Styela clava: one gene and its partner. The protein of the gene in region 2 purifies or fractionates together with the protein of the main gene of each other region. This does not show direct contact. Links are inferred from orthologs where the notes say so. Each region holds a gene or a part of one and is shown on either strand. Other genes may lie near its edges.

Region 1 (17,255 bases), on a different chromosome or scaffold from region 2:
TTAAATCAAACTGAAAATTTCTTGAAAGTGGGGGTATATTTAAATTTAATTTTTTCAAATGTATTATATGCTTTTTTTATGGTCAACACGCCAAAACTTTGTTCAAATCTGACACAAATAATAACCTTATGTGAGCCTGTTACAAACTATAATAAACCATCAATGCAGCATCATCACCAGACAGGAAAGATAATTACCAAGTAACAACAAGTAATGGTACAATGATTACAAGTGTGTGGTAAAGTAATCAGACCAATACATCCATGTGATGAAATTAATTATCGCCGAGCAATTTGAAGATGTTACTAGTCACATGGTAAAGCGAGGGTTTCATTTGGTTAGCCACCATCTGTAAACTATTTTCTTCTTGTACACTTTTTATAGTTTTTGTATAGCAGTATTGTTTAAGTTAATGAAAACCTAGAAAATGGTCCAAGTGAGTTTCCCTCAAATGGTTTCACTACCATGCATAAATCACATACATACTTTGATATACATTGGTCTCTTCTTGTTCAGTTCTGTCTCCTTCTCTTGGATCTTCTTCTCGACAGATGCCGCCTCTCTCATCATCTTTCCCTGCTCTTGCTTCCTGGTTTTCACTTCTTCTTCTGTGCGTTCTGCTTTTCGCATCAGATGCTTGAGATCTTTGTTTTTATGCTGATAAGGTGGTGGAAATATGAATATGCTGATTTGTGTCACAATAAATCCATCTAATATTATTTCCAATTGAAATTATTTGATTGAAACTTTTTATGATTTATACTTTTCGCTGTTTTTGCGCCCCTGTTCAAACGACGCCCATGGCTCGTGCCGCACCCTAATTACGCCACTGCTTAGACTTGCGGGCCATGTAAGTGTGACGTAATAATTTCAATAACAAGAACTATACAGTGCAAGTGTAATTGGTTGTTAGAAAAGAAGTTTATGGCAGCATCAGGCAGGCAGGCCAGATTTGGCCCATGGACCGTAGTTTGCACATGTCAGAACTATAGCTACTAGTGAAACAGTGTTTGCATGCAAATTATACTCTTAGTCGTAAGAATGGGGCCTTACTTTGAGTCGACATGTATGAAAAACCAAGGTTTTTTTGTGGCATGAATGCATTATTCTTTTAACAGCACTCTTTCTACTTTTTGTCAAGAAATAGGGACTTTTTGTTTTGGTCAAATAAGTTGTGTAGGGCACCATATAATAATATATGAAGCGTCACAAAAAATACTACACACAGTAAAAAGTTTTTATGCTAAAGAGAAGGAAAATAAATTTTGATTGATGCCACGAAAAAATTTATCTATAGTTACTAGTGAAATAGTGGTTGTGCGTAGGTCATACTCTTAGTTGAGAGCATAGAGCTTGCTTTGAGTAGACATGTACAGGAAAACCATATACAGCTTTTCGCCAAGTGTGAATATGTTGAATAGGTGAAACACCACATTATATGGGCAAACACCAAATAAATATTAAAAAAAAAAAACACATGAAAATATATGGATAACTACATAAAAATATGTAAAATGCTACATTACATAAAATATATCAAGCATCACACAAAGTATGTGAAATTCAACACAAAATATGTGCAACTTCACATAAAAATATGTGAAACTTCTTACAAACCTGCAATGTTTCGTGCATTTTTTCCATTTCTCTATCGTTATAGAAGAACTTAAACAACATAACTTGTAACCGTTGTTGAGCGTAATCATCTCGCAGCTTTTCGTATTTCTCCGCTTCCTCTTTTTCCTGTTTGGCTTCTTTTCTTTCAGCAGCAATGCCTGAAGATTTAATAATTCATAAGTTAAAAATATCGGGTTTGAATTCTGTGCCAACGCCCGTAAACCGACGCTCCCGTAATATCTCTACCAAGGTACCCGTACCAAGGTGGTGCACAACCTGCTAACCCTGACCTTGTACACAGACTGTGTTCAGGTTGTGCGCCATCTTGGTACGGGAGCACCCATTAACCGAGTTTAATAACTTTGGTGAGCATGAAAGTTGCGGTCTTTACAAAAATAGTATTTCTTCCAGAGGTGTGGATTTGTCAGAGTTTACTAAATTGAATAGCAAAGTACTGAAATTTCTGATGGCTCTAGCTCCATATATTAAGTTAAGCTTGGCCCCAGCTCTCAACCCGGCTTCACACCATTTCGCTATGAATAATTTCATACTGACCTTTCTTCCTATGATACGAATACTGCGTCTCCTGTTCCGAGGCGACCATTTCAGCTTTTGCTCTTTCATATTCCTCTTTAAATTCTGAAGATCCTGAGATCTCTTCGAAGAGTTGCGTCCGTTCTTTCGGATTTTTCATAGCAATTGATTCCACTTGTCCCTGGAAATTTTTGTTTTTATGACAAATAGAACAGATAGCTTTACACAAACAGTCACGAGCTGTGTAAAGAGATAATATTTAGAAAAAAATTTTCCTGGTCTAGAATAATCTACACACTGAGTGAGGATATAGACAGCGGGGTTGCAACTAGAGTACACTAGCTTGCGAGGGCAATATAGTGAGTCACGTAACTGTTATGTAACAATAGAGGCAGATACTACTTTCTGCAATTTGCTGAACTGAGTTAGCGATCACGAGTGATTATTTAGGAAAACTAGGTAAAGATGAGGGATAAGAGTTGACATTTTGCCTTCATTCATTGGGCCTACATGATTACAACCTTAAAAAGGCATATTATACACATTAACTAACAAATGTACACTAACAATCACAAAATTGAGTTTTATTTAAAGGCAGCAATTTCATCGTGTAAGTACGCCATGAGTATTCTCATGATAATTTGGCGACGCAAAAACAAAAAATTTGGAACCGTTGCTATAGAAGACACTCACTTGGAAAACTAAGAAATTCTTGACTTTGATGAAAATATTAATTCTCTCCATTTCCTTGTTGTAGTCGGCATGAGGAACGACTTTATCATTGATTCTGTGTTCGGCTGAAGAACCTTTGATTATTCTGAAATAAAAGAAAAGGTGAAAATGAGGAAAAACTAAATACTACATGATTTAAAGCAGTGGTTCTCAAACTATTTTTGCTCACGGCGCACTGAGCAAATAACAAAAATCTTGCGGCCCACTCGTGAAAAAATAAAGCTGGACTTCAACAAGTTATTCAGCTAATGCGATGTGTGTGCCTGTTTTGAAAAACAATAGAAATGAGGTTCGGTCGCTCCCTTTTTCGCTTTTAATTTCAGTCAAAACATAAAATACGTGTTAACAGTGCCATGGAGATGCAAATGGCTAGAATATTTTGATGGCCTTTGCGCCAATGATAAAATATAATTTGTAAGCAGATAGCCAAAACTTGTTCAAACCTGCTTTCCTGTTACGTAACTGAACGTGAGAGTCAACACGGTGGAAGGTAGACGTCATATTTACAAAAACATTATGACATCACAATACATTTATGACAAAACAATCCCTGTTACTATAAAGACAAGTCGAATGCAATATATAATATTATCATTGTAAATAATGATATGGATATGCAAGGCTCACAAGCTTGCCAGCTGCATGTATGCCTATGTGTAATACAAACAGCTTTTTTTCTGAAATCCCAAAAAGCTTCACGGCACACTTGAGAATCTCTCACGGCACACACTGATTTAAAGCATGAGTGGACAATTACTTTTCTAAGTGGGCCAATCACATGAAATATACTTGGTTACTGAAGCTCAGAACTCGATACGAAAAACTATGAATAAAAAACAGTTTATTCACAACACCTATTCCAACAGCTAGGCAAACGTTTATATAATAATATAAAGCACAAAGCAACAATCGGGCTTATTTCGATGGCGCGGCGGTGTGGCTCAACGGGCTAAGCGTTAGGAATACACTCGCCACCGCACCTCTAATTACTCTGCGTGGGTTCGCAGGTTCGAATCCCATGCAGGGATGGTTATGTGCGAGAGGATTGCTGGACTCCTCGCCGTTGTTAGGTGGTTCACGTAACCGCTGGTCGGTTACATCTTCCTCCACCACCAAGTCCATGCTTCAGAAAACAAACAATATAACTAATCCCATACCAGTCTTGGAATGGTAACCGGACGAGAGGCCGTGGTTCGCCATATGGATAAGCCGTCTTATCAGCTTTCCTCTCCCCCGGGATGAATATGTAAATCCTCCATTTACGATATTTTCAGCTGAAATTCATATCAATAGAAACTATAATCGTAATTTAAGCAGACACAAGTTGGCCGGATGAAACACCATAGTAGGCTAGATCCAGCCAGCGGCCCGTAATTTTCCACCCTTGGTTTAAAGTCTTGTCTAGTTTGAAAAAAATTGAAAATGATGACTACCTCAAATTTAAAACAACTGAAAACATATAAGGGCGTGATCCGAATCCTTCTATAATATGGTCATTTTGGATTCGATCCACTGAATTCATACTCATTTTCTCACATCTGTTCGCAACTAACCTTGAAAAGACAGTTTTCTCTCCTTTTTCATCAACGTACGTCGCTGTGACTCTAGCTCTGTTTGCGACAGGAGCACCAACGGGGGCGCCATGGATCAAATCCGACAATTTCTTAACTCTCAAACTGCTAGTCTTTTCTCCCAGGACGAAACTGATTGCGTCCATAAGATTTGACTTTCCTACAAAAAAAGTTTATAAATTTAAAATTCTGGGATGGAGAATTGAAATTGAGAAAAAATAGCTGAAAAAATTTATGATACTACTGTGATAGCCGCACTCTACAATTCAAAATATTATCAAGATATGTGACGCATCAGCCATCGTGCCAGACGTCCTTGTTTCAGAGACAAATAGAATGTTTGTTCTATTGAACCAAATGTCGGGACATCATGGAATGCGAGAACTGTGCCCTACTGTAGATTTGTTCGCTGATCCAGTTCATTCAGTGGATGCAAGGTTAGATTAAATTGGGATGTCAAGATCTTGGTTATAAAACTGACAAGACCCTCCTTAGGTACCATAAAAGCGCCTAACTTCGGACAAAATTACCATATTTTCATCAATAACTCAACCATTTATTGTTCAAATTGCGCCAAAATTGCTCGGTAAAACATTGATGCGGTACGCTACATTCCCTGCAAATTTCGTGCTCGTCGGAATATTTTTACTATTGAAATAATCAGTTTTATTTTGCCATCTGACCATTATCCTTCACTGCCCTAACTTCGGACAGTCATTTTCCTCATTGCGTAACTGCGACGCACAGAGAGAAAGAGGCTTCCGACGCGGATGACGTAATCACATCGTTGCGTGAATATAAGACGCTCGATCGGCGTCGTAACGTTAACATCGAAACGGCGTGGCGAAAATGCATCATTTGAAATTTCCATCGTCCAATGTTAACCTTGTTGCATTTATTTGGTATTTTAGTTACGTCAGATCAGTATAATAACACGTTGGCCATTCTAATCGGGAATTAACATACGCAAATTATTCTAATGCAAACCGTTTCGATCTACAATGAAACATTTTAACCGACTTGCAAGTCTTTGAAATATTAATATTCTCGATAGATAGCTGTGTTGATGTTACGCTTATCTTTATAAGTAATTAATTTTTCATCAAACTTAACACGAACCCAATAGGAACGTTTATTCTTCAATTTAATTTCGCTAATTAACATTGAGATAGGTACCGTGATTCTGGTTCGGAATAAAATGAATTCTCCACACGGGTGTATCTAATAACTATCGATTTCGACTTCAAAGCGTAAAATAGTTGTTTTCGTCAGTATACAGAGCCACATGGACGTTCAGACGTTGCATTTCTCTAGTTTTATATTTTCGAATCTTGACGACATTGGTTACGTAAGAAACGTATTCTCGTTAATGTGATTTTGGCATATGTTCACACATGGACCGAACAAAATACAGAAATATTACACTGGAATGCGCCTTTACCTAAAGCGGAAATTGCTAATTTGGCGCCGTTGTGTCGGGCGTCAAAATTCGTTTCCGTGACGCAGTGTGACTTCGTGTCGGCAGTGAGCGAAAAATGATCTATGTGAGGTTGACGTAACTTTTGACGCAGTGTGAAATCTCAATAATTTTACGAAATTTACAATTCAGAATTTTACGTTTAATCTAAATCTCGTATGACATCTTGCGATCACTCTGATAAATTATATACATTGTTAATGCCCTCTGCCGGATGATGGTATTTTGACGATGATAACTTGAGTAGGAGCGACACTCTGTGCCGTTAAATAGAGTGCAGTCATTTTTCGGCAATATTTCCGTTTTTTTCGAGAAAAAAAAAAATTATACAACATTAAAAAGGTTGATAATAGATGTATATATAACAGCTCTACCTATAAAAATTATAATTGACAATATACGGCGCTTACTAGTCAAGATATGGCCATTTAAATTTTTTGTCCGAAGTTAGTAACTGCCCGAAGTTAGGCGCTTTTACGGTATTGTCAAAACTGGAATACAACATTTACAGATTTATAGCATATACAGATATAGCAAACTCTGAATCCTGGGCACCAGTTTGCCATCGGCAGATTGGAATCCATCGCCACTACCAAACTACGCTCACCCGATCCATTAGGTCCAATGATAGCCGTGAACCTCTTGAAAGGAATCAGTATTTTCCCTTTGTATGATTTGAAGTTTTCAACTTCGATACTTTCCAAACGTCCACTCATTTTGCTACAGGAAAAAGCACCCGCAACGAAAACAAATCAAGACCGAGCGCGCTTAGCAGCGTTAGCGCGCAAAATCTTCCTGTAATTGTGGTAGACGGAGTCAAGAAAAATTAGTAGAGTATTATTGGTCTTGCACACAAACCACATAAAAATGATCATTCAATTACTGTTTCAACTATTTTATGTATTTCCTCAATTTTATAATAGTGTTTTTTTTCATTTTTGTCGATTCAAAGACATACCTTTAGTTAACCATTTGATTTGAACCTTTCAATAGCCCAGCGCTCTCTCCGGCACAGATAAATATAAAATAAAACTCTTTATGATCTTTAATGCCAACTTTACGTGACCAATGTAGAATGAAAAAAAGATCTTTCACTCTGAAAACACTAATGTGTATATCGGCACATTATAAAAACTCTCAGTTCGCCCAGTATCTCCCTTACTTTCACTTGGCTCTCTAACATTATTATCCACGCTTTTATCGCCCATGTTTCGCCTTTATATCGATTATGAAGCCAAAACAAACCCGATATCACTTATCGATCTTGGCCGGTAGGTATGTTGTTAGATATTTGTCTGTCTGTTAGGCACTTTAGTATGTTACGCGATATAAATAAACTTATATAGAACTATTATATGAAAATCCAATCCTAATCACAAAAACACGACAAAATCTCAACTAGATGAGATGGATTTATCGCGGCGGTGCGGCTCAACGGGCTAAGCGTTAGGAATACGCTCGCCACCGCACCTCTAATTACTCTGCGTGGGTTCGCATCCCATGTAGGGATGGTTATGTGCGAGAGGATTGCTGGACTCCTTGCCGTCGTTGGGTGGTTCACGTAACCGCTTGTCGGTTGCGGCTTCCTCCACCACCAAGTCCATGCTTCCGAAAACAAACAATATAACTAATCCTATACCAGACTTGGAATGGTAACCGGACGAGAGGCCGTGGTTCGCCATATGGATAAGTCGTCTTATCGGCTTTCCTCTCCCCCGGGATAAATATGTAAATCCTATCCTATTGCTAACTGCGAGTAATCCCTCAGACAAGAACAGGTTATTTGTTGGAGATGCTTTTATAACAATAAAAAGGCAGTTTAGACAGTGCCATATATAGAATAAGACGGATATTCGGACCCTCTAAAATATTCAACAATATTGGGAGAGATGTCAGTGACATGTCAATATAGTTGGGAAACTAAACGTTTGTCAGACGCATCAGAAATATAAAAAAGCACACATTAAGGAGGCATCAATACAATGAAAAAAAAAAAAAAACTGAATAGATAAATTCAATTATTTAATTTTTTTTAAACAGATATTTATAGAATAAAATAAAATTATATTCTTATTCAAATTAAATTTTTTCAACACCCAGACTTAAAAATTCCTATTTTCCAGAAACTGACTCGATCATTGTCAGATATTGCACAATAAGTTCTAACTCCTCGGACAAAGAGATATCGAGATATTCGTCAGTGTGCTTCGTGACATCACCTGCGACGTCATGCACCATTGCTTTTTCGTCTTCAGTCAGTTTCCGAGATGAACTTGCAGTGTCTGTGTCCTGGAATTAGAAAGAAGAATACTCAATAAAATGATACGTCTACGCATATTGAACAGGTAATTAGTTAAGGAGCTCCCCCCCCATAAATATCAGAAAATCTACAAATAATCCCGATCTACATAGGATAAGGCAGTATTTTTAAACCTAAGAAGCAAGCTGGGTTTTACCCATAATGCCCTGACATCATGCTGTGCTGTCATTGGTTAATAAGTGGGAAATGAGATTAGAGCACAGTTATCCCAGGAAGGCAATCACATAGATAAAATGTAAATGAGAAAATGTCTATCAGCATGAAGAATTGAAATGAAATTCAGTTCTCAGTTCATTTTATTTATATTTGGTTAACTGGTAAACTTATCCCCACACTCAAACCTGGTTTGCAACCAAACGGGATGCCGTGATGCATCATGACTTTTGGATAAGATAGGATTTACATATTTATCCCGGGGGAGAGAAAAGGCGATAAGACTTCTTTATTGACAAACCACGGCCAGCCGTTACGTGAACCACGCTACGACAGTGAGGAGTCCAGCAATCCTCTCGCAAATAACTATCCCCGCATAGGATTCGAACCCACGAAAGATAATCAGAGATGCAGTGGTGAACGTATTCCTGATACTTATCACGATGCGCCACACCGTCGAGCCTAATAAACAAATTCTCCTACTTCCAAAGCGCTGCTGATGGAACTGATCCATTCTGAGGGAATTTCTCCTAAATGTTCAGCAAGATATGAAGCAGCTTCCTCTAGTTCACCAGAGAAATGTTCCAGACAAGCTTTTGCGACTCCTTCATCAAATCCCATGGCTTTCAGCTGTGATGAATAAAAACGATACTAAAAAAGTTGTCTGTAAACAAGGCTGTAAGCAAGCAGGCACAGGTTTATAAACAAATATATTATGAATGCTGGGCGCAAAACTGATTTTAATTTTACTTTACAAGAAACTCCCCCGTTCTTCTCAGTTTTCATTGCTTGATAAAGTTATTTCACAGGATGTTTTCGTTTTCTTATGCATAAATTGTTTGAACATAATGGTATTTGGAATCTACCAATCAAAATAACACTATTAATACCACTAGAATGATGGAAAAGGGGCAATCTGTCACAGTAGACCATCGGTACTGCGGTCTTGATGGCTAACCACCACTGGACGAAACAAAGACCTGTCAAACTAATCCCATACCTCATACCTGACATGGTCTTTTAACCGGGCAAGAGGCTATGGTTTGCCATACAATTAATGTCTCGTATCGGCTTAGGATGGGATTTACATATCTATCCCAAGGAAGAGGAAATCTAATAAGATGGCTTAATCATATGACAAACCACGACATCACGTCCGGTTAGCAGTCCATGTTGTGTCATTGTGTGTGGTATTAGTTAGCCAGTTATTATTTGTTTTCAGATGCATGGGATTTTATGGTGGAGGAAGCCGTAACCGACAAGCGGTTACGTGAACCGCGGCGAAGAGTCCAGCAATACTCTTGCACATAAATATTCCGTGTGGGATTCGAACCGGCAAGCCTAAGCAGGGAAATCAGAGGTGCGGTGGCAAGCGTATTCCTAATGATTAGCTCGTTGCGTCACACCGCCAAGCCTTTCTCAGGATGAACTGTAAAAACTATCCTGAAAACAAACCTGTTGAAGCGCACTCTTTTTATTCTTTTTCATATTTTCTTCTGCATTCATTCGAACAGCTTCACGTAATTGGTCAGGATTACTGTCAATCATTTCTATAGCCCCACCCACATCATTGTTAGCATGCTTCAGTGCTTCAACAACTAACGTGGGTTCGAACCCCATCTGTGACACAAGTTGCTCATAAGTGTCAATATTAATTGGGTCTTCGTTGGCACACGTCCCAAATTTTCTGAAATAAAAATTAAGAATATCGTTAATTTTGGAAAGCAGCAGGGAATGGCAAAAACTATGTTATTCTGCAATATGAAATACATTGCATTTGGTGACAAAGTGGTGAATGCACTAGACTTGACTATGATAAATATCAATAAATATTATGTAAATATTGTATATAGTAAACAAACATGAGAGGTATTAATAGATTGACACCAAACCTGTTATTTATTTTTTATGCTTATTGAATTGGGTGGCAACTGACTCTGATGACCTCCAAAGGTCGTATCGTTGCCTCCCAGTCATGTACCGAAAACATTTTTTCAATTTTGTTATGCACATATGTATGTATGTATATATTGTTTTCTTGGTTTGACAAAATGAAATAAACTCTCTCTCTCTCTCTCTATGATAACATGGCAGGTTGAAATCTCAGTTTCAGATACCAAGCCCATTACCTCACCCAAGATGTAATAAATCGTAGGCAATGCCGGACTAACAGATTCCAAAAAGATGAGCTTTTTACATAACATTAGCTATTAGTGAATGCTTGTACAAAGCCTCGAGCAAAGGGTAAGGCGGGAGGAATAAGTGTCCCTAAAAACATATTACTTAAATGAAAAATCAGGATCTTGTTCATAGCGAAGTTTTATATTTCATGCAACAAGAATGGTAGCCTAGAGCAGATTTCAAGATGGGTTCAAGATGACTGCACAGAGGTCCATAACGATGAAAAAAGGGACCTCCTGAAGTATGCGCACCAAGATGACACGCTACCTGAACTCAGGTTGTGTACCAGGTTAGGGTTCAGGTTATGAGACATCTTGGTGCGCATACTTCAGGAGCACCAAAAAAAGAGCTTGATCTCCTTAGAGATTGATTTCAATCAAAAAGTCATTGCATCTTTTTGGTTGACCGTTGCGGACAAATCCAACAAATAAGGGTATACGGCCTGAAAAGCGGCCTAGAGCCATGCTCGGAGAAAACATATATAACTTCTCATACTTTTGCAATGCCTTTTTCCTTTTCTTCTCTTTCTCTTGTTTCTTTATTTCTTTATGTTCTTCTCGTTGTTTGAAAGCCCACTGGGTTGCCAGTTTTACATCCATCATGTTCGCCCTGAGTATTGAAAACAGAGGCAAGGTCAAAAATTTAAATCGAATCGTGTAGGCCGGCGGACCCCAATCCGAATCTGGACCCTTCAAGTAATAAATTTGAAAGCATCTTTTCTTATTTTACAGCTGTGATGTAATGCATTTTTCGCAAAACTCTTTGAAGAAAAATACACTCCAATAATGACATTAACCTCAATGCTCTCCTTGCCTCCCTCTCGGCCAATCCCATTGTCATCAACTCCGTTACTTTATCTTGATCAGTGACAACCATCTTTGCATACCTGTGGAAGAGAGAGGAAAGTTGATAATGTGTTAAAAAGCTATGATTATAATAAGATTGGGACGAAATTACATATATTTATCTCAGTTACCAGTCTACAACAAGTATAGGAATATTGTCACCTACACAAACCACCATTTTTGTGGCGGATAGCCTTTAACAGTTAACCTTTGGGTCACGTTTGTTAGATGCATGGTATATGACTTTCACATTTATTGCAGGATAAAAGAAAAGGTTGATAACAATAGTGTCAATGACCAGCCATAATTGAGCTAAGAGGCATGTCTCCTTTACTTTTAAGTTCAAGTGTGACACTACTTTTAGTAATTTCACTTAAAACTCATACGAACCCTTGAGCTTTGTCTAATAATCTATTCGACTCCTTGTATTGTCCTTCGTGATAAAAAACTACTCCTTGGAGTAAATACAAGCGAACAAAAAGTGCAATTTCATTTCCGGAAGAACCCTGAAAACATAGAAGATATAATGTTTTGAAAATATCATGCTTTTTGCAGCTATTTACAAAGAGTATGACCGCCAATAGGATTGGGAGATATTCATGCATCATGTCCAACTATAGAATTGGCATAACTAAACATACAACATACATTACATAATAACATACATTACAAAAAACAAAACCCATATTTTTCTCAAGTACTTCTGTGAAAATGTATTCAACAAACACTTGAACTGTTCGTGTATGAGTATATCTAGGACGTTTTTCACGAAAGTTATGTTTTCTTTTGAATATGTTCCGACCGAGTGACCTGGGTTCTAGTATTATGCATAGTTGCATACCCACGAAATGAAGAATAATATTACAATTAACAACTAAACGTACCTTCACTGCAAGCAGTCTTTGTAATGAGTCTCCATAACTTTTATTAAAAGCGCTTTCACATTCTTTAAGTCTTAATTTCGCGTCGGGAAGTGCGGATATATTTTTTGTGCAAACATAACACCACACGATGTCCAAACAGAGCACTGCATAGTTATCGACCATCGTTAAAATTTCCGCACGACATTCTCGGAACTCTTTATCAGCCTCTAGCAGAAGTAATAAAGCGAGTTCATAGTTTTTACGCTGTAATATTGCACGACCTTTTTCATGTAGTCCGAGAGCTATTGTGAGCGATCGTTTTTCTTCTTCTGGTAAATCTAACGCTTGCCCTTTCTGATCTGCTATTTGAACATCATAAGCCCTGAAAGGAAAGGAATAATAACTTCAGATTTTAAAAACATGCACAAAAACCTTCAATAATTAAATACACTCGCCTTTAGTTGTTTCCTTAAAAATATTGAGTTGAATTGTTCAATTTGAAACATATTTGATAATTAATAGACAATATATTTTTTGCCTCACTCGGCCTAACTGTTATTTGTAGCTTATTTTTAGCTCTAGTTATTTATGAGGTGGGGCGCGAGACTTGACAAATCCCAAAAAGAGGGTGCGGCTTGAAATGTTTGAAAACCACTGGCTTATAGTGAACAGCTTGGATAAAACTGTCATGTAAATACGCCCCACCCTGACATATCGCTTGATTCTGCACCCATCTCCGCCAATAACTCCGCCCCTTTTCTTGCACGCTTGACTGCTTTCAATGCTTGTTCGACCTCTGATGACTCTTTGCGAGCTGATTGGGCGATTACAAGACACAGTATAACACTGTTATGCTTTACATGTTGTGATTCAAGTGAGGAATCTTTCTGAATCACGCGACCTCCACAAATGAGTTTGACATCTTCTGAAAGCCTAGTATACAGAAAGGAATAGGTTTAAGTGTATTACATTCACATATTTTTTGTGTGTTTATTTCTTGCCCAAGCCTTGTCTAACAAGATTTTTTTTTTTGTGAATGCGTGTTGGTGAGTGGGCACATGATATTCACCTTTTTTAAAACTTTTTTTAAAGGTTTTGCTCGCTCTCCAGAATTCTCCATTTTTTATTTGTTTGTATTGTCAGATTGTGGAGTTTCCAAAATAAACTATCTATCTATTTCGACTCCATAATCAGTACAACCGACGATAAATAAACATTTGATAAAAACAGATAAATAATTAAAACTGAAAACAGAAAGAGGAGGGCGAACAAAACCTTTAATGAGGTTTAATATGATATGTTATTCTTAACTTTATAATTAATTTTACATCATTTTTCCTCATGGGATTTCCCTATTATGTGGAGAATGCAATATATTTACTGGCACATAAAGCTTCTATAATCTATATTATATAGTTTCAGTAACTCTTTCAATGACTGTCCGTAATGTCACTGAAAATCCGTTCGTTTTTGAGTGTATCAATGTGTGAGCATGAGCACGTTTTTGAGTGTGAGTGAGCATGAATTTAATTGAAGTAATAAATTCCGGCGCTCCGTAGTATGTGCACCAGGATGGCGGACACCGGAACGTAGTATGTACACCTGGTTAGGGTTAGGACATAATTTTATTCCAATTTTCCTTATTTCAGTTTTATCACGACTAGCCAAGTGACTCACGTAGTATTTGTACCTGAAATTACGGCCTAACCCTAATCTGGTACATATACTACATGAGTACTTAAATTTCAAGTAACTACAATCATACTTTAATTTTTCTGTGACTAATTTTTTCAGTTCCTCCCCAGAGACGTTTAAATTTGTTTCAACAATTTCGAACTCCACTTTTTCGGTTGATGATCGCTTGAGTTTCAATGTCGCAATTTTATTCGTTTTATAATTCTCATTTTGACGCAATCTTTCTACTGTGTGGTGCCAGAGTTCATTCAAGCATATGACGACAATATTTTCTGGAATCTGAAAATGGATGATGCAAAAGAAATTAGGTTCGAGTCGGTATTCTTATTTAAAGTTGAATTGTTATAGTTTCAGACTACAAATTGGGTAAGCGCACACATACTAGGTACTTCTTTTATCAATACCTTTGCATCTAAAATCTGTACGCTTCAAACCTTACTTGAGGTTTCATTTGCTTTGCTGATTCTGTAATCAGTTTTATTTATTTTGTTTTATCAATTATTTTATCGTCTATTGCTGATTATGGAGTCAAAATAAACTTATACTTATACAAATTTTGAAAAAAATATATAATTGGGATTTCCGGGGAAAAAGGAATGCTTATGAGACTGCTCGATCTTAAATGAACAAAATGGCCTCTCGTGATCCCGTATTTATTTAAGATGCATACGCATAGACTTGAATAGTGGAGGGAACCGTAAGTAACTAACGTAAAGAACCCTACCTACACTAACAAGAGTTTATTAATCCTGTCACATAATTATAATCCCCCCCCCCCTAACATTCGACCTCAGATAGTATAATCATTGATGAAATAGCAAGCAAGCATCACAAGCCACCTTGTCAGGAGTATTATGATTGTCATTGAATAGAATACGGCAGAGTATGTAAATTAAATGACTGTTTGTGTAGGGTCTTGTTTATTCTCCCATGCACGTAAAAGTTTGACATTCAAAAGTTAGTTCTTTTGTATAAAGCCCTCGCCACTAGATTTGAGAAAACACTCCCACTACACTCAAAATAAGAAATTTTCAGTGCAATTTGCAATCCTAAATAAACATTTACCGGTATTTATTTTCCCATTTTCGAGCGTTCGAAGAGGTTTTGTACAAAAGATCCCAAAAGTTTTATTTAATAAATTGATAAGGCTAAAAAGAAATGTGGATTTGAATCTCATGTCTGTGATTTTCTTGTACAGTGACTAGTTCAGAGCAATATGCTTAATAACTCACTAAATGAATAAACTTACTTTAATTTTCTTACTAAATTCCAAAGCCAGTGTATTTATGGCATCTGCTTCAATCTCTCCATTTTCTTTTGTGTAAGGAGGAAGCCATAGTTTAACACTCTTCACACGCAAATGGTTTTTCACTTTGTTAGTAGCTGCTTGAGTTTCTGAAGCCATTTGTGATTCATAATAGAAAAGTTGTGAGATTTGACACCAATCGGGATTCAAAATTATATTTATTCTAGAAATTCTGTTCTAAGAAATTAAAATTTGCGAATTAAAAAAAGGAAATATGCTGAATTTTTAGAGTAGCATTGGATTTTTATAATAATTTGTGAGAATGATGGGATTTACAGTACATAATTATCCCGGAGTAGAGGGAAGGCGATAAGGCTTCGTAAAGTTCAATCATATGACGAACCCCAGCCGCCCTTATGGTAACCAGTCCATGTTTGGTCCAGGATTAGTTGGTTAATTAGTTGTTTCAGATGCTATGATTTCAACCAATCAAAGGTATAGAGTTGATAGAATAGGTCAGGGGTGGGCACACCGCGGCTCGCCAGACTTTTTGTGCGGCTCTTCTCGCTAACATAAATTATTATCCAAATTTTAACTAAGAGAAAAACTTTAATGTAAACTCTTTTAATTTTTTAAAAGTTGTAAAGAAGTTTTCGTCAATAATTAGGACAAACTATGTTTTAGTATGAAAATCACTGTAGCGTTGAATTTAAGTCAGTCGAGTCAGCAAATCTTTCGTCACAACGGTCAATGTTTATTGATGCGTCGGCGGCATTGCAGCTTGATTGCGGTTAGTTTGTCTAATAAGTTACTGTGCGATGTGTCCAAAATTAAAAAAACGAAAGTACGAAGATGAAAACCGAGTTGTCAGAGTTGCCTTGTTTATCTATTTATTGTTATTAGACTCTTGTGTGAATTTCTTTTCTGTTCATGGTATTTCAATAATATTAATAAATTAACAAATTCTGCGGCTCTTTTAAAGTTCTGACTTGCAGCATGCGGCTGTTATACTAAAAAATTGTGCCCACCCCTGGAATAGGTTGATAGCAGGGATGGCCAATATCGAATAGTTCACTATTTCGAATACATTCGAAATTATTTTTTTCGAATATGAAATTTCGAATACTTCGAAAATAAAATCCACCAATTGAAGCTTATCTAAATGTATGTAGGAATTTCCCTACAATAAGCAATGAAATAACTGCTATCTACAAGTTACAACCTAGCTATATTACCAGGCATTTCATATTTGCAGATTATTGCAGTATAATACCATGAGTCATGTTAACAGAATTAAATTAATACGGCAATAGTGGTATCGATGATGGATTTGAATATTTGAGCAACACAAAATCATCCTAGTAAAACGCCCATACTTTTAAATACCAACCATTGTTCAAATTATTTGCCAAAAAGCGGGATAAAGTATGAGTTATTTCTCCACTCGTGACAATTTTTTCGTGAGTACAAAAATACGAATCGAAAATTAATTATATTCGGGAACTTTACCACACATTTTAAGTCCGCAGATCGCCGTTGTATGTTTGATTGTTTGAGTAATAATACTTTTATTATTTTATAAATATGAAGATAGGAATCAAAAACTATTTATAATCGGGTAGTTTACCACACATTCTAAGTCCACAGATCGCCGTTGTATTTTGTAGATACGAAAATAGGAATCAAAAATTAATATTAATCGCGAGTTTGCCACACAATTTATGTCTACAGATTGTCGATACAACCATGAGTTACGTTGAACAAAATTAAATTAATACGGCATGACATTTTAAATGCTGGTACTAGTCATGGATTGGATTATTTTGCGCAACAAAAAATCATCCTGGTAAAGGATCGATACTTTTAACTATCGTTATCAGAATTATTTGCCAGAAATTATTTGCCGGCTATAAATACCGTATTTCCCGGCTAATAGGTCCACATGGCAAATAGGACGATGTCTATTTTTAGCACTCAAAAAGGGGGTTTTCATATAGGCCTCCAATAATACGGGTAGAAAA
Region 2 (16,763 bases):
CGTTCGCGGTAAATGGTGCCTCGAGATGAAGTCACATTTTCTCTAGATATTGAATAATCTAATGTCGAGAAGCGAGCCTTTTCATTGCGTCGTCTATTACAATTTACATTACCAAAAAGACGCCCATTTTTGGTTATTTTAATCCACTAAGACGACATTCCACGCGGTCAACCTCACGACAAGCGACGCGCATGGTTACCGATACCATAAAAATAATACACGTCACTGGCATATCAGAATTGTGATGTAACAATGAGCTCAAGACAGTTCTTTCCGTGAATGAAATTTTATATTTCATTATTTTTAAATACCAGAGTTTAGAAGCTAAATTGAAACATTGGGAAAGCTGAAAATTCTTCCTTCTCCTCTTAGATTGCCCTTGCATTGACGACCTTGTCGCGACCCATTTTTAAACCTTCCGCGACCCATGTTTGGGTCGCGACCCATACTTTAAGAACCACTGTTTTAAACGCAAGCATAATGGCCAACAATTACTATATGCTCCATTTTGACACTGCCAAACTTATCTATCATAGACTAGGCCAGGTCCTTACACGAAAAAAATAAAATTAAATTTTGTGATCATTAATGTGTACTTTATGCCTTTAAAGGTTTGCAAACATGTAAGCCAAAGGAATAACGCCACTGAACACTAGTACGACACAGCGCAACTGTTAGACTAGACCAGGGGTCAGCAAAACTTTGTGGCTCGCGGGCCAAGATTAAGAGTTGCAAGTCTTGGTGAGAGCACATATTTTTAGAAAGCTGAAAATCGAACGGATGGTCGATGAATCACAATTTTTTCACGCAGATCAGAACTAGAAATTTTAATTTTTAAACAACGCGCGAAGATTACAACTCAACTCAGTCGTCTTAATAAAAAAAAATTCACAAATGACATTTAATATGACACTTGTTGCTGCATCACACTTGATAGCTTTTCGGCATCAGGCGGCACACTGGATAAAGCCAAGATCGGCGAGGTGAAGCGTCGCAGGCTGTATCGGGCTCACGTAGGTTGCTGACTCCTGGACTAGGCCTGATTTTTGCTTACTGACAACTTGAATAACCACTGCTTCATACTGCTCTCTGACGATGTACATAGTCTTGTCATAGTTTCCTTTGTCAGACATCCTTATTATCCTTGAACATCTATTCCATGTCTTATCTCATATGGATCATGTATAAATAACCATTCTAATACTGTTTATCAATAAATAATCTATAGAATATACATAACATATATCTGACAAATGATAAAAAGATATATCATTGATAAATTGACAAAATCTTATCCCTAGTAATTCTTACTCTCCTGCAATACCTGATATATTTACCTGTATTACTACATATTCAAAGTTAGATATTGCATAGTTAAATAATTCACAGAAAAAACTACAAAATACAGAAATTGTAAACTTTTAACTCCATTTTACTAAAATTAACTGAAAAGATTTGCAAGCTTTTTTGAAATTTCATAAAATGCTGTCTTCCTTTTTAAATATTCTATCTAGCTTCATTGTGCTGCAATAATAAAACATCTACCTGCAAAACATCAACAGCAAGGTAATTAGTGCAAAGTGCTAATCAACAAATTCAAAACGAGAATATCGGTCGGAGACCGAAGATTTATCGATCGAATCTGCGGTTTCGATTCATGACTCTATAGTGACACCGCGTGTTCCATCACTAATTAATTAATAACTCGCTAATTATATGACATAATTCATCCAAAATCAATAGGCTTCTGGTCCGAGATATGAATGCACATGCAAAATTTGGAGCAGATTCAACCACGCCTTCGTGAGATATCGCGTGCATCTAACAGACAAACAGACAATATTCTATCTAGCTTCATTGTGCTGCAATAATAAAACATCTACTTGCAAAACATCAACAGCAAGGTAATTAGTGCAAAGTGCTAATCAACAAATTCAAAACGAGAATATCGGTCGGAGACCGAAGACTTATCGATCGAAACTGCGGTTTCGGTTCATGACCTTATAGTGACACCGTGTGTCCCATCACTAATTAATTAATAACTCGCTAATTATACGACATAATTCATCCAAAATCAATAGGCTTCTGTTCCGAGATATGATGAATGCACATGCAAAATTTGGAGCAGATTCAACCACGCCTTCGTGAGATATCGCGTGCATCCAACAAACAAACAGACAATATTCCATCTAGCTTCATTGTGCTGCAATAATAAAACATCTACCTGCACAACATCAACAGCAAGGTAATTAGTGCAAAGTGCTAATCAACAAATTCAAAACGAGAATATCAGTCAGAGACCAAAGACTTATCGATCGAAACTGCGGTTTCGATTCATGACTCTATAGTGACACCGCGTGTCCCATCACTAATTAATTAATAACTCGCTAATTATACGACATAATTCATCCAAAATCAATAAGTTTCTGGTCCGAGATATGATGAATGCACATGCAAAATGTGGAGCAGATTCAACCACACCTTCGTGAGATATCGCGTGCATCTAACATACAAACAGACAAATACCTATCAACATACTTACCGATCTAAAGATCGATAAGTAATAATTCAAATAAAAAAAACATCCATTCATATCTATATTACAGAATGGATAAACTATTTCCATAAATGGGTGAGACCTCTAATATAAAGGATTCTAATTTGTTTTTTCATTAATATATTCTACAAGCATCTCCCTCACTTTAACCTACTAAACAGCCATGACGTCTTCTGTTAAAAATTACCCTCATGCTCTTGTCGTTATACATTTGATTAATTTCTGAAAATCTAATCAGATCCTGTAATTACCATAATGAATTAAAGCATTCCTATAACACTACTAACATACAATATCATACTTGGTGCAATATCATAACAACCAATAAATAAGCATCTGAATCAAGGGTCGGCAACCTTTTGTTACTCGCGGGCCAAAATTAAGGGTTGCAAGTCATCAGTGAAGCGTCATGCGGGCCGTAGGTTGCCGACCCCTGATCTAAATCTTTCGGTGGAGAATAAAGCACAAGTAGTTACTTACCCTTTTTCCTAGGCTTAGATGAAGGAGTTTTACCAGATGATTCACTATTGCTTCGATTCTACAAAATGGAATAAAGTATACAATAATAATGTGAGCTTCAGGTCATTAGGAAGCTTTACTTAAATCGAAGTCTTGATCCTTCTATTAGAAGTATAAAGTGCAATGATAGTTGGGTGATTTGTATTACCATATATCCTCGAATATACGCGTATGTCTATTTTCCCATACATGTGCCGAATATCATCACTTCAAATAAGTAAAAAGTATAAAATATTTTCAAAATAATATGATTTGAAAAGTAACACAAACAAAATTATGAAAAATACAGAAAATATTTCCGTCTTTGTATATTTGATTCGACTATAACAGCACAGATGTTTTACATTTTCTAATAATGGTCAATACCACTTACCACGAAAGTTTCTACTTTGAAAAATTAATTTTTATGTTGCTATATTACATAAACATGTTAACCATGATCACCACATTAATATAAAACAATACAAACCTGTCTCTGCTTATGCTGACTAAGAGAAACTGGTGATGGTGAGAAATTGGATGCCATATTGGCAAGTTGTTCTGGAGTGATATTCTTTGCGTGCGGCGATGCATAAGGTGGAGGTGGAGGCATAGGTTGACGCTGATGTGAATGAGGAGTACCTGCTCGAGTGTTGACATTCAAGTCTGTATTAGCAAAAGATGGAGGCCGTGCAAACGGCAGGTAAGAATCTGTTGATCGAGCGGCTGGAGGACTTGAAAAAGGCAGTGCAACATTGGGATATTGTGGTGGCGTTGTATTATTATGTGAAGAATGTTGGCTCATGGCATTAGAACTTGAATTGTTTGATAATGGAGGTCTGTATGAAGGTGCTGGTGCTAATCTTGTTTGGTTGATCATAGGAGCACCTGATCTTTGTAGAGTGTCATTTGAACTTTGAACTTGAGGTTGTTGTTGATTATTCAAACTTTCTGGTGTCTTGTTGGAATCAGCAACTTCGAAAGCAGGAAAATCAGAATTTGTACCAGGTTCTGTTTTTATCCTTGATAATTTAAGTTTGAGTGATCCTGGTGATGATAAACCAGGTTGTTTTGAAGGACTACTAACAATATCATAGCAAACATCGTTCGTTGTTAAATCAATACTTCCATTAGAGGATTTCATCTCCGATGATTTTGGCTGTTCCTTGTCTTTATTATTCTTCTTTTTCTTCCTAATATAAAAAAGAATTTAAGTTGTATTGAAACAATTCACATACCGGTAAACAGAGGAGCTGTGTAGAAATATAATCAACAATTATAAGATAATGTGAAATTGACAATAAGTATTAATATACAAGCCTAAATATTTTTGTCATCTGATCCTTTAAAAGCAAATGACAGTATTACACAACAAGGCGCTCCAAGAACAACAAGAAGTGTGTGCACCAATATAGAGGTAACTAATTTTGTTCGCCTACTTTACAACAAGTTGTGTAAAGCGACTGAAACCTTTGGGCAGGGGGTATATTCACTTGGCTAACACAGACAGTCCGTGACTCGTAATAGAAATAAAGTGAAGAAAACCTCTCCCTAACCTGGTTCACACACTACGGGAGTACTCACAGGCTACAATAATAATGTTTTTGAGGATGGACAGCTACTGAAAACTGACTACTGAAAAACAATGTAGTTTTCTCACCGTATTTTTAAACAGATCTTGGGATTTTCTTCTTGCACTTGATTAGATGGATTCTCAACAGTAAATTCATTTTTCTGCAAAAAATGTTCCAAATATCGAGGTCCAATATAAACTGACTGCCATATTGATAAGAAATAGAATAAACTTCATAATAAAATGAAGTCCTACAAGTATTTAAAATAAGAGGAACAAATTGTATAAAAAAATGCTTTATATTATACTGAAAATTTAAAAATAGATGCAAACTATAAAATGAACTTACAGAGGATGAAGGTGTATCTCGATTCTCAGAGCATGTGGAATGAGGAATTTGAGACCTGTTGACCTGATTGGGATCTAAATAGCACATTTAAAGCAAATAAAAATACAACAAATACAAGTGGTATACCATAATAGATAAGAGTCTCAATGAGGACAAACCGTTAATATCAAGGAAAGATAAAATTACACCTGTTGAAAAAACTACCGGTAAGTTAATTCAACAATGTTTCTCAAGTTGGTGGACAGTTTTGCTAGGAAAATTTAAAAAGTGTAAAAATGAAATGATCTTTCGACAAGAATATAGCAAGCAATGTCCAAGCAGCAAAAGATAAAATAGATATGCAGAAATTTCTGGGGTAATCCACGTGCCCTTACCATCTCGAATAACGGTAAAAAATCACTGATCAAATACATATGGGTAACACAATAATTAAATATCTATCTCCTACTAATTTTTTCAAGATATTGACAGTCAATTATATACAATACCTAGGCTCAGCAAAAGAAAGGGTCTATTATGAAACAATTTTTTTTAAATATTGACAGTCATTATATACCTAGGATCAGCAGAAAAAAGGGTCTATTCTGAAACAATTATTAATTCTGACCTGTTTTGAACTGTGATGAGGAAATTTCAGAAGCACATTCAGCTGGACTTGCTTGATACATAGGCAAACCTGTGTAACTGAAAACAGAAATTATTCAAAACTTTTTTTAAACTTGAACAATGATTCAGAGTACTAGTAGTTAGAAAATTGGATTTAACTAATTTACATCAAAAATAAATCAAATTTATTTCGACTTTTCATCAAAGCGGATGGAAAAAAAATCCAAACATTATACAATATAAAAAAACAGAAAAATTCGAACATTTCTGTGTATTACAATGAAAGCTATAAATAAACAATATAAATACCATTACAATAATTATTAAACTTGAAAACACTGTTATAATTCGCTCAATCCCAAGAACTTCAAAAAATCCAATCAAAATTATATCCTAGCTAGCATATATGCACTAAACATATATATATATATATGTATGTATACATGTACAAAACAAAACGAATTCTCAGATTCATGACAAGCAATTTTTATAGTGCTAGAAAATTTTATAAAGGCTATATCATTTCAACATAAGTATGATTGTGGATTCGTGGACAAAAAAAATGGGAAAAAAAGTAAATTGTAGTGGACGTAAATTGTAGGTGAAACATAACAAAATAAAAATTTTGTGTGAAATAGATATAATGAATTATTTGCATCAATTCCCAGAGTTATAAACTGGTAATATTATGGGTCATACGCACTCATACCTTATTGCAGGGCTCTGTGGAGTAGCAGCTTGTGCAGGACTGCTATGCTTGATATTTCCTCCAACATCATTCACAAAAGTCTGAAAAAAAACAGAGCATTGCAAATTTCACAAAGTCAATGTTGAAAAGGCAAAAAAGTACAGTTATCGGTATATACTGTATATTCATCCATGCCTTTTATTGATAAAAAGTATACAAAAAAGGGACAATCGAAGCATTTTTCTTGAGTAAGATGTAGGGTATGGAATTTGAACTTGGATCTGGGACACCATCATATTTAAGTTCAATAAAGCTCCAGCCACTAGGCCTTTCATTACTAGATATAAAAACACCAGGTAGTTGAGGAGCCAAAAAAGTATACCTACTAACAATTTAACCTTATCACTACATGTCAATGAAAGTCCTTTCTGTGGTGATTCCCGGTAATTAATAAGGAATAAATGACATAAATATTTGAATTTGCAAATTTGTAATTTTGCAAATTTGTAAAACAATGGTGACTCCTTTATATGGAATATTGTTGGAACAAAATCCACAGCCTGGGTGATGGAATAGCAACTGAGTTTCGATAAGGCATTTTTATGATGCTGAGTCAACAGAGCTAATTAGGTATGATCTAAAAATCTTGCTAGGGACATTCATGCAAAAAGAAGTTTACCCGTCTTCTATAAAAAACATCTGGTTTCTTGGTTAAGATGGCTTGCAACAAAGGTGGTACATTAAGGCCATCTAAGCAATCAGTATCTTGAGATGGATCTTTTAGAATTCTATAAAAAAAAAGTACAAGATGAACAACTTGAAAATTATGCAAAAAAACGGTTGACTAAAAAATGTTACAGAGTATATTGAAATATTATTATTTGACAATCGAAATGAATAACCTTCATAAAAATCATGATTTTATAAGAAAAAAATAAGCTTCTGCAGAGAAAAAGAGTAACTACAGTAAATTCAATATTTCAAATTTTAAAAAATTGTTACCTGTTTACCTAGCAGAAATTCTCTGACTAATGGAACTATTACAATTCTCATGTTATCATGACTATATAAACAAATATAATTATATGAGACTTCATTTATTTTCATATTGACACAGCAAATTGTAGAGGTGACCAAACATTTGAAACAATTACGTCAACTTACATGTCTTCTGTATTTGTCTGTGAAAGTGCATCTATGACGTTTGAAACATTGTTTTTGTCTGTGTTATTTATCAGTCTCTTGATTCCGGGCATAGGAATAGTCGAATAAGCAAACAGAGGGTATTCCAGAGAATCTGGATGTGGACCAGGCAGTGGCAACTCATGTAGAACTGAAATTTAATTGAAATTAATACTAGGAAGATAACAAAAAAACTATTTCGAAATGGCAAGATTTGAATTAACTATTATTAATGAGCCCAAATGAAAAACAGGAATTCATTATCCATTATTTATCCATGCCACAGATGCCTAGTTAACATAAATCTATAAAAGCATTGAATTTATCAAGTCAGGCACAGTTCTCTAATTCCAAGATGTCCTGACATTTGATTCAATCAGAAAAAAAAACATTTGTCTCTGAAATGAGGGCATCTGGCACTACGGGAATTGCGTCAGATTGCGCCATGCTTATCTCGGAAATAATCTAAATTAATTGGGGTGGCACAAGACCAAAATTGCGTTTTTCGCTGAGAACTCTTGAATGCTATGGTACATTTTTTTTCTTCCAGTAAATCGCATTATTTTTTCCGAGCAATCTAATGTCAATATTTCTAGTTTGCACTTTCTTTAGTTTATTGTGCAAAAAGCTGTTTAGCCGATTTATACCAATGCGGAGTCCCAAACTGTCACGTAACAGAGGGATTTGTACTCACTATTATAATCGATGTCATTCAATGTGGGGGCTTTTCATGGAATGGGATAGTTGTGCCGTACTGCACATAGAAACAACTCACCATCTGTCAAACTTGTGATTCCTGCCAATGTCATCAACGGTATTTTTGGAATTTCCATGTTTGGATTTAAGTTGTTAGGATTCATACTCATAGCGGTGTTTCCGAGTACATAAGTTTCTTTGAGAAGCATTCATATATGTGAAGGTATTTTATCCCAATGTGAAAATGAAAATATATGGAAATCTGCTATATTCCTCTCATGTTTTAACTGAAACCCGATACAGAGATATAAGCTACCCTAAACAAAGCACTTTCCTGCAATTTATCATAAAATGCAAGAAATTCAAATTAAAAACTATTTTATTCTTGAACATTGCAACCAAATCGTGCCATGAACGAACCACGGTATCTCTTACCATGGTTTTATGGCGCTCTTCAGTAATCAGTATTATATTCACAGGTATATTCACAAAGTCATCTGCCAGATTTTAGTTTAGCACACAGAATTATACCTACTTAAACCTGAAACCTAACCCCAAACACATCAAAACTGTATCCATAGGGAAAATGTGAAAAATTTTACCCGCCATTAGTTTTCAATTTGCTGCCGTGGTACCGGCATCAAGACCTTGGTTTGTGGCAGCTAAAAAGTCAGTCGCCGTGGTTTGGCCATAGCGGCCATGGTTTTGAAATCCCGCCATGGTTTTGCGGCAGCTTCAGACGCCACAAAATACTTAAAACTGCACTTGCAGACTTGCAAATTGTTGCATAACTCAGTAACTGGACAATTTAGGTCAGGGTCGTCCAACCCGTGGCCCGCCGAGGAGTTTTGAGTGGCCCGCGCTGTATTTTCGGAATTAATAAAAATAAAATGAGTAAAACTTTGATTTTTCGCATGATAATTAATATAAATTTTTGATACAAACAATTTGTTCATTTTCCTGAAATGCGCTCTGCTAGCCCTTTCAAACGAGCCATGAGTGCCATTTGGAATCGAAACCAACTGGGAGATATCGATACAGAAATAGTCGCTTATACACTTGGCCAGAATGGCAGTTTCAATGACCTCATTATTTGGCAGCACTTGTACAAGCAAGTTTTTTCACAGATGAACCATGTCAAATCCCCTGTGAGATCACTAATTTCTGACAGTCATATTGAAAATTCGCTTCGCATTGCCACATCGTCCATTTCAGCGAATATTGACAAACTTGTTAGGGAAAAAAGTGCCAAACTAGTAAGTAAAAGTAAGTAAAAAAACTTTGTTGACTTTACTGTATCTTCTTTTTTTATTATTCTTATTATTGAGAAAGTTTGGTGCGAGGATTTTGTTTGTTTTTTCATTAACTTTCAGTCAGTGTAGCAAAACTAGAACATAATTACTATGTTAAGTTGTCCCGCGTAATTATTAGTGAACAAAATGCTGAAATGTGGCCCGTCGGCCAAAAAGGTTGGCCGACCCTGATCTAGGTCCTCACTCAATTATTATTCATGCTAAGTCACTAGTTATTTGTTAGCTTGGTATCTTCTGCACAAAAACTTTTTACATGGCTATACTTTGCAAAAATGATTCATGCAACAATGTAGTTTTGTGAAAACGTATTTTGAATAAAATAACATTTTAGCAAAAATACATTCTCACGAAATCTCATTTCGCAAAAATCTCATTACACATATCATTGTTTTTCGTTATATCTACAGTCAGACAGTTCTTGTTGCTACTTTTAACCTCTGATTTTATGTAGGCCTACTGGTGCATGCAAGAATTACCGGTACCATTTTACTCTTAAGTCACCAGCAATTAAATTTAGGAAAAATTCAGTAAATTTTTATTTGAAAAATAGAGATTTTGAGTCGACGGACAAGTAGATCAAAATGTACAATATCTATACTACTGTACTAGTAAGAAACAACATAAGAAAAACAATGCCCTTTATATTTATATCATTTAAGATATGATTAACATGAAGATACTGTGATTTATGTAATTTTCCACATAAAATTGCCCCAAATCCAGCAATCTGCCAATTTCAGAATTTAGAATGTAGGCTACGGTATTCGTTATTTCATATCCCAAAATATTTTCACGAAATGTATTCGAAAGAGTAAAATATTTGGTTTTGATCATTTCAGTTTACCAGTCTGGATTTCATGGCCTTTTTGAACGAGAAATCGGGCGTGCAATCAGAAATTCCCGCGTGCAAATAAGAATTCCTGGCGTGCAATTATAGCTCACGACGTGCAAAACAACTGCACTCGCGTGCAACTGACTTTGACATCAGATACCTCTCAATACATCCGCGTAAAATTACCAGTATCGGATAAAAAATACGTTGAATCAGAGAAAAAATGGACGTTTGACCTTTGACCCCAAACATTATTTCTACAGTTTGTCGCTAATTTTGAGAGTGTTTCTGCGACTTTGGATACCGGTACTGTTCAGTACATCCGCGTAAAATTATTGGATGAAAAATACGTTGAACCAGAGCAAAATGGACATACATTGTCATTAATTTTGGTAGTGTTTTTACGTAGGATTAATGGATAAAAAATACGTCAAATTAGAGCAAAATGGACGTTTGACCTTTGACCCCAAACATTATTTTCATACTTTGTCACTAATTTTGGGAGTGTTTGAGCAACTTTAGATACCGGTACTGTTCAGTACATTCGTGTAAAATTATTGTATGAAAAATACGCCGAATCAGAGCCGTACTTGGCCATTGGTGCGGAGGCGATCTTTTCGTCCATAACTATTCTCACGGGATTCCTATTTCCTATCATTCAACACGATATGGACCTTTCCCCGAGCATCGACTTCCTTGTTTACTTCGTGACATTTGCCAATCAGCAAGATGCAAAAAAGGACGTAACAATGAGAGGAATTTTTCGCGGGTCAAAGGTTGGGGAAAGGTCCATGGTCTTTTTGCTTCGCAATATTTCGATCAGACCAAATCTTGCAAGCTGGTATTTGTCGACAATTGTGGAGGTATAATATTTTGGCATCTTTATATTACTGGATTATTGATTTTAAAACCATTTAAACCGATTTACATTGGTGAGCAATTGCAAATTTTCGGCGTGCAAAATTGATTTCGCTCGCGTGCATTTTTGCGGAGCGCTAGCGCCCTCGGGCGTGCACCTGCCATGGAATCCAGTCTGGTCAGTTTATATAGCCTGCGGTATGGTACCGGTACCGGTACTTCAAAAGTAAAGATCACAGCTAAACCACTAAACACCTTTCTCAAATATTCTGCATTAGACTAATAAATTCAATTCCTATGAACTTCAGATAAATTCGATCGAGATTTTTTATGAACATGTTCATGTTAGACATGACCTAATTCAGAATTTTGAAAAACTGGGGGGACGTTCCGAAAAATAGGCAAAACTCTGAAACTCAGAAATTGTGATGCCGATACCGGTACACTCTGACACTGATAATAACAGATCACAAGATATCGCACAGCAAATACAGGAACATACCGGTACCGTATGCTTGCAGCACTGCACAGATCGCATGGGCAAACACATAGCAAGTCGTTCCTTATTAAACAACAGGTTCGAATTCGCTGATGACAAAACTTTGGACAAGCTAAGGAGGGAACGGTAATCTACCTCCATCTACCGATCGATTACCAACCACACAAATTTCCCTTTGTTTGAAAATTACGTCACACGTAACGTCAGTACGTGAAAAATGGTTGCGCTCTCAGCAAAGTGCCATAACCTAAATTCCTTTAGTCGCACAGATAGAGCTATGAAACATTGGACTTAATCGCATGAAATCCCCAGGCAATATGGAAATGAGGGATGAAAACGCGATTCATAAGGAGCTGAAGAGTTTATTTCGAATCCAGCTTACCGTATTTGCTCGTTTAATAGCCCGGGCGCTTATTTTTTTAAACATACTCACTAACCGGGCCCTTATTCAAACCGGCCCTTATTCAAGTAGGGGCGCATGTTATTTTTAAAGTAAAATTACACACAAAAATACCGGTATAGATAAGATCGATCGTTACAATAATTAATACCGTATATTGTCATTTCCAGTTCTCAAGTATGATTTAAACGAAAATAATGAAAATTTTGACTTTTTCTACGCACCGCAGGTACAAATCCGCAAAAAAAAAAATTTACACTGGGTGGGTATTCAAGCACCGGCCCTTATTTATTTTCATGTCCTGTTCACACGGGCGGCTATTCATTCGGGCCCTTAATCAAGACCGGGCGTTAAAAGCATTTACGGTATTTGCAATACACGAGCGGTGTGGCGCATCGTAACCAAAAAGAATACGCTTGCCACCTACAGCACCTGAGAATACCATGCGTGGGTTCTCGGGTTCGAATCCTGATTTCCTCTACTACCGTGCATGCAATTTTGTGCATTTGAAAACAAAACAACTGGCTAACTAATCCCATACCCGACATTGACTGAATATCGGACGAGAGGCTGGGGTTTGCCAAATGATTATGCTGTCCAATCGGCTTTCTACCGTAGCTCCGGGAAGAGTGTGTGAATCCTTAATATGTGCCTTACCCTAACGCGGTAGACTTCAGACTGTACCTGAGTAGGTGATATATGGGGAAATTGATAATTTATCAAGTTAATTTTCTTTATGTCTCAATAAAATAAATTGTTCCAATGGCTGACGTCCGTTTTCAAATTGAAAAATCGTCAATGCTAAGAAAGTCAACTATTTAATGGGTATGCCCTTCTCCTAGCACCCTTCTTATGCTTTCCAATGTTATAGAAAACTATTATGCCAGGTTTTAAATGATTTAAAATTTTAATTTCTAGTGCAATCTGCATCCCTAACTCAAACTGAATAATTACTAATTTTTATTATCTTATCCTTCCAAATAGGCTAGGCCTACAACAAACAATGCAGCTAGATCCTTTACGACACTGGCAGCCAAAACATTAGGTGTTAAAATAGCGAATGAAAATCTTGTAAACTCGTCAAATTCCTGCTTCTGGTCGATAGTATTCGGGTATTATCTCTCTGGATAGACAACAATTCAGGACTGTTCTTCTAACGTCTTCCATCCAAGACATTATAGTAGAGGGAAGATCACATCTAATTCTCGATAGAGTGTCGGGTGCGGTATTTTTTATACCTGGTTTACATGCAATATCGAAATAGCAACCGGATAGTTCAATTCGCCATCTGATTCTGATTTCTCCAATTCTGAAATGTTTGACAATGGACAAGCATGCAATAAAGTTGATATTTTGCTAGTAATCAATTGTCAAACGTTTCTCTCAATTCAAACAACAACGACTAGACCTTTCCGCGGAGGAAGGCATTTATTTATAATTCTTTCTTGTTGAAGTCTTGCTTCAAATGATTATCTATCTTCATGTGAATATCTTAAGCAGTTAAGTTCTGAAAGTTGCAGTCTTTGTCCAATTCTAGCGACAGTGTATATTATTTATTGTAAGCAGCAATGGCGCCAAAAGCTATTTTGTCGATATCGGTAGTTCGGTACGCTATAAAACCTTATGGCACATTTCCGTATTTTTATTTCGAATCTATTATTGTTTATTATTGTAAGTTGTAAAGTTTATTCCTTCAAAAGTTGTTTCTTTATTTATATTTTCTGCTGTAATTCAACATCTAGGTGTCGCTGACTGAATGGCTCTTTTGGGTCTTTTCGACCCCTCATCAACTGCTAAAAATCAATGTTTTTTGTTTTATTTCACGTGTATCATTGCTTTATATTGATTCTTGCCTGATGGAAATAAATATCTGAATCTGTATTGGTTGAAAATAGACGGATATTTCCGATATATCCAGCTCTTTGATCTTATCTAGATTTTTTTGAGGTGTAAGTTTGGAATACAGATATATATTGGCACTTATTTTATTCGCGAATGAAACATGTGTACATGCAAAATATACTTTGTGGTTATACTCGTGGCAGTTAGTATGATGAGTGCTTGCTCCGAAACAAATGAGCTTGTATTTCACCACGTATAGTAACCGACCAGGTTTTAATCGATCATCGCGATTCCTAGCATCTGCGTACAGCAAAACTGCTATCAGTCGGGGGGCCGATTTTTGCATACGTACAAGTAAACAAAAAATAAGCAATAACGTCGTTTTAATTTGGGTCAGTTATGCAAATGTCGAAGTTCCAGATAGAGTATGGCCCACAAAGAATTATAGTCGTCCCCAAGTACGAATTGAGAAGATTATTAAAATTGAAATTCAGCTCAAAAAACAATTTATGAATTGAGCAAAAATATATATAGTAGTCTACACCAGTTGTTCCGTTGGAAATATATACCCATATTCATTTGCACCAGTACATATTTGTCTGTTCACACAAATAGTCGCATCTTTATTAAACACAAACAAATACACACACACACACATATATATATGTGATAAAATGCTTACGAATTGAAAGTATAAAATTCGCTGCGGTCGCCACGTTTTTAAAGTCACCAATTGTAATAGTCTTATTCCCCATTATCTTCACGGTCGTTTTCTTTCAACGAAATAGCTCAAACGTAGTAGGCTACAACCATAAATCTCCCCCGCCGTGGTGTTTGGATATGTATATGTGTTTTGTCAGAGTCAACTTATTAAATTTCCGGAACGTGCTGCGACAATGAGTGATAATATTATTTAAACGCAGTTAAAAGAGAAAAATAGAGAACGAGAAACCCAGAATTTATAGTTTCCGTCACGGTTGCATCTACCATTGCGAAATATTGTATAGAGCAGGGGTGCACAACTCAAATGAGGTAACGTGCCAAAATTTCTAAAATTGTTCTCGTCGCATGCCACATAATACCAAACTAGAAAAGATTGGAACCATAGTGGTGTGAGGATGCGCCAAAAACAGAATCCGAATCCGTCCGAAAATAATTTTCATCATTTCAGAATTCGTCCAAATCCGGATTCCCCGAAAGAAAAGAAAAAATCCTGCTCCTTTTCAAGTAGATATCTCAAAGCCTCATCGAATTCTCCAAAGAATAATAACATTCTGCATAATATTCCATTTGTACACATAAATTCAAATTCTCTGTAAAAAGGGAATTCGGTAAAAAGATGATACCCAGAGAACGAAAGAAAAGCTTTTGTGGCAATAAAGCAATTTAATGGTAAAGAATTACAGTGCTGCTGACAGTAATATTTATCCTATTACAATTAAACCATGTTATGTAGTCATATTTAGTTGCATGGAAGATGAGAAGTATTCTGGGGGGTAACAGATGGCATTACAATAATATATAGAATATTCTTATAAATAAATAGAAAATAAATTCTCTGTGAAAAAGGGAATCGGGTAAAAAGATGATACCGAGAACGAAAGGCAAGCTTCTGTGGCAATATAAAGCAATTTAAGGGTAAAGAAATACAGTACAGATGGCAGTAATATTTCTCCTATTACAATTAAATCATGTTGTGCAGTCATAGTTTTTGTATTGGCATTGCTCTCCTAAGATGATATTATCCAAGCTGATATTAAACTGATTACAGAATCGCTAGGCTTAGGGCGCGTCATTACTGCTGTTCTTCCATGAAATTAAGCACATTTGCAGTTAATTCGGGAGATGGACTTTCTACAATGCTAACTTCTTGGTCATAACGTCGCAACAAAAATATTATAACAGGATCATGAATTACAGTCGACGGTCAACTGTTAGAAAAGTTGTTAAATTTACTTGTCTTACAAATAAAATGAATATTTACCCTAAATTTCCTCGTGTTTTCATTTTGTTTGTCCAAAAATATACAAGATTTTATTATTTAATAACAAGAAATAATAATTAATAGGAACGAATCTTTTCATTTTCAATTTATCTTTCAATTTGCGTTTGTCGAAGCCGGGAACTTCGCTATCAATCGCATCATCTGACGTCAACTCGAATAAACTAAAATACACGACTGCGAAGTATATAATCAATTCTTAATCGCCTAAACATTGTAAATAATTAATTGAACGAGACGTTGAAAAACCAATCGGGCTGGAGAGGACAAGCCCTAATATTGAAGGGATGAATGTAGTAAAAGGGCTTGAGATTGACACCGCGCACAATATTGATGTGATGCCGGTACAAATACGTTTCACCGATGTTCGACTTCTTTGTTGATTACCCGGCTAATGTCTAATCAGCAAGTAATCAACAGTGGCATACGATTGAAATTTTAGCAGCGGATCAGACACCTCTTACTCAGACTTAGTCGTCTTGAGTGCTATTTGTTATTTTTTGATCATGTTCACAAAATGTGAGTGAATCGAACAACCCAGCCATCATTTTGTCCTCGGAAGTTTTTTAATTCGGTCGCAGCAATCAAAAAATGAGGTGTGTCAAGCTTTTTAATCTAACTGTGACACTTTTCGTGGCAGCCTTTGGAACATTTTGAGGCAAAATGGTGATTTTGAAGATGTAAACCAGTCCGCAAGCGCAAACTTTCGAAATACTGTCTGAAAACGAATGAAAAATTCCGCAATGGTGATTTAGATTAATAACTTTCTAAAGTCGAGGATCGGGTAAACATCTATAATGATTATTAATGCTTACAATATTTCATATCCGAGAAGGAACTTTTTATAAATTGTTTTGGTAATTCATAT

Evidence for each region.
Region 1: the proteins of nipped-B-like protein A (region 2) and structural maintenance of chromosomes protein 1A-like purify together in Homo sapiens (affinity purification with mass spectrometry; 3 studies listed by BioGRID and IntAct, with this or other methods). This does not show direct contact. The link is inferred for Styela clava from reciprocal best matches to the Homo sapiens genes NIPBL and SMC1A.

Annotation. Positions count from the first base shown.
Region 1 is NC_135252.1:24,235,587-24,252,841, reverse strand, and holds the start of structural maintenance of chromosomes protein 1A-like, read right to left. Parts: upstream 6,722-17,255; 5' UTR 6,648-6,721; coding exon 6,539-6,647; intron 4,615-6,538; coding exon 4,437-4,614; intron 2,969-4,436; coding exon 2,845-2,968; intron 2,333-2,844; coding exon 2,173-2,332; intron 1,776-2,172; coding exon 1,618-1,775; intron 658-1,617; coding exon 487-657; intron 1-486. Other genes in the region: NEDD8 ultimate buster 1-like, read right to left, coding at 8,044-8,220, 8,888-9,034, 9,860-10,091, 11,081-11,194, 11,382-11,471, 11,821-11,936, 12,315-12,675, 12,999-13,226 and 2 more. UniProt on the Homo sapiens protein: Involved in chromosome cohesion during cell cycle and in DNA repair. Central component of cohesin complex. The cohesin complex is required for the cohesion of sister chromatids after DNA replication.
Region 2 is NC_135260.1:16,738,763-16,755,525, reverse strand, and holds the start of nipped-B-like protein A, read right to left. Parts: upstream 8,497-16,763; 5' UTR 8,359-8,496; coding exon 8,229-8,358; intron 7,605-8,228; coding exon 7,436-7,604; intron 7,060-7,435; coding exon 6,951-7,059; intron 6,373-6,950; coding exon 6,293-6,372; intron 5,662-6,292; coding exon 5,585-5,661; intron 5,052-5,584; coding exon 4,978-5,051; intron 4,790-4,977; coding exon 4,716-4,789; intron 4,249-4,715; coding exon 3,546-4,248; intron 3,096-3,545; coding exon 3,038-3,095; intron 1,262-3,037; exon of another isoform or gene 1,134-1,261; coding exon of another isoform or gene 1,055-1,133; intron 1-1,054. UniProt on the Homo sapiens protein: Plays an important role in the loading of the cohesin complex on to DNA. Forms a heterodimeric complex (also known as cohesin loading complex) with MAU2/SCC4 which mediates the loading of the cohesin complex onto chromatin.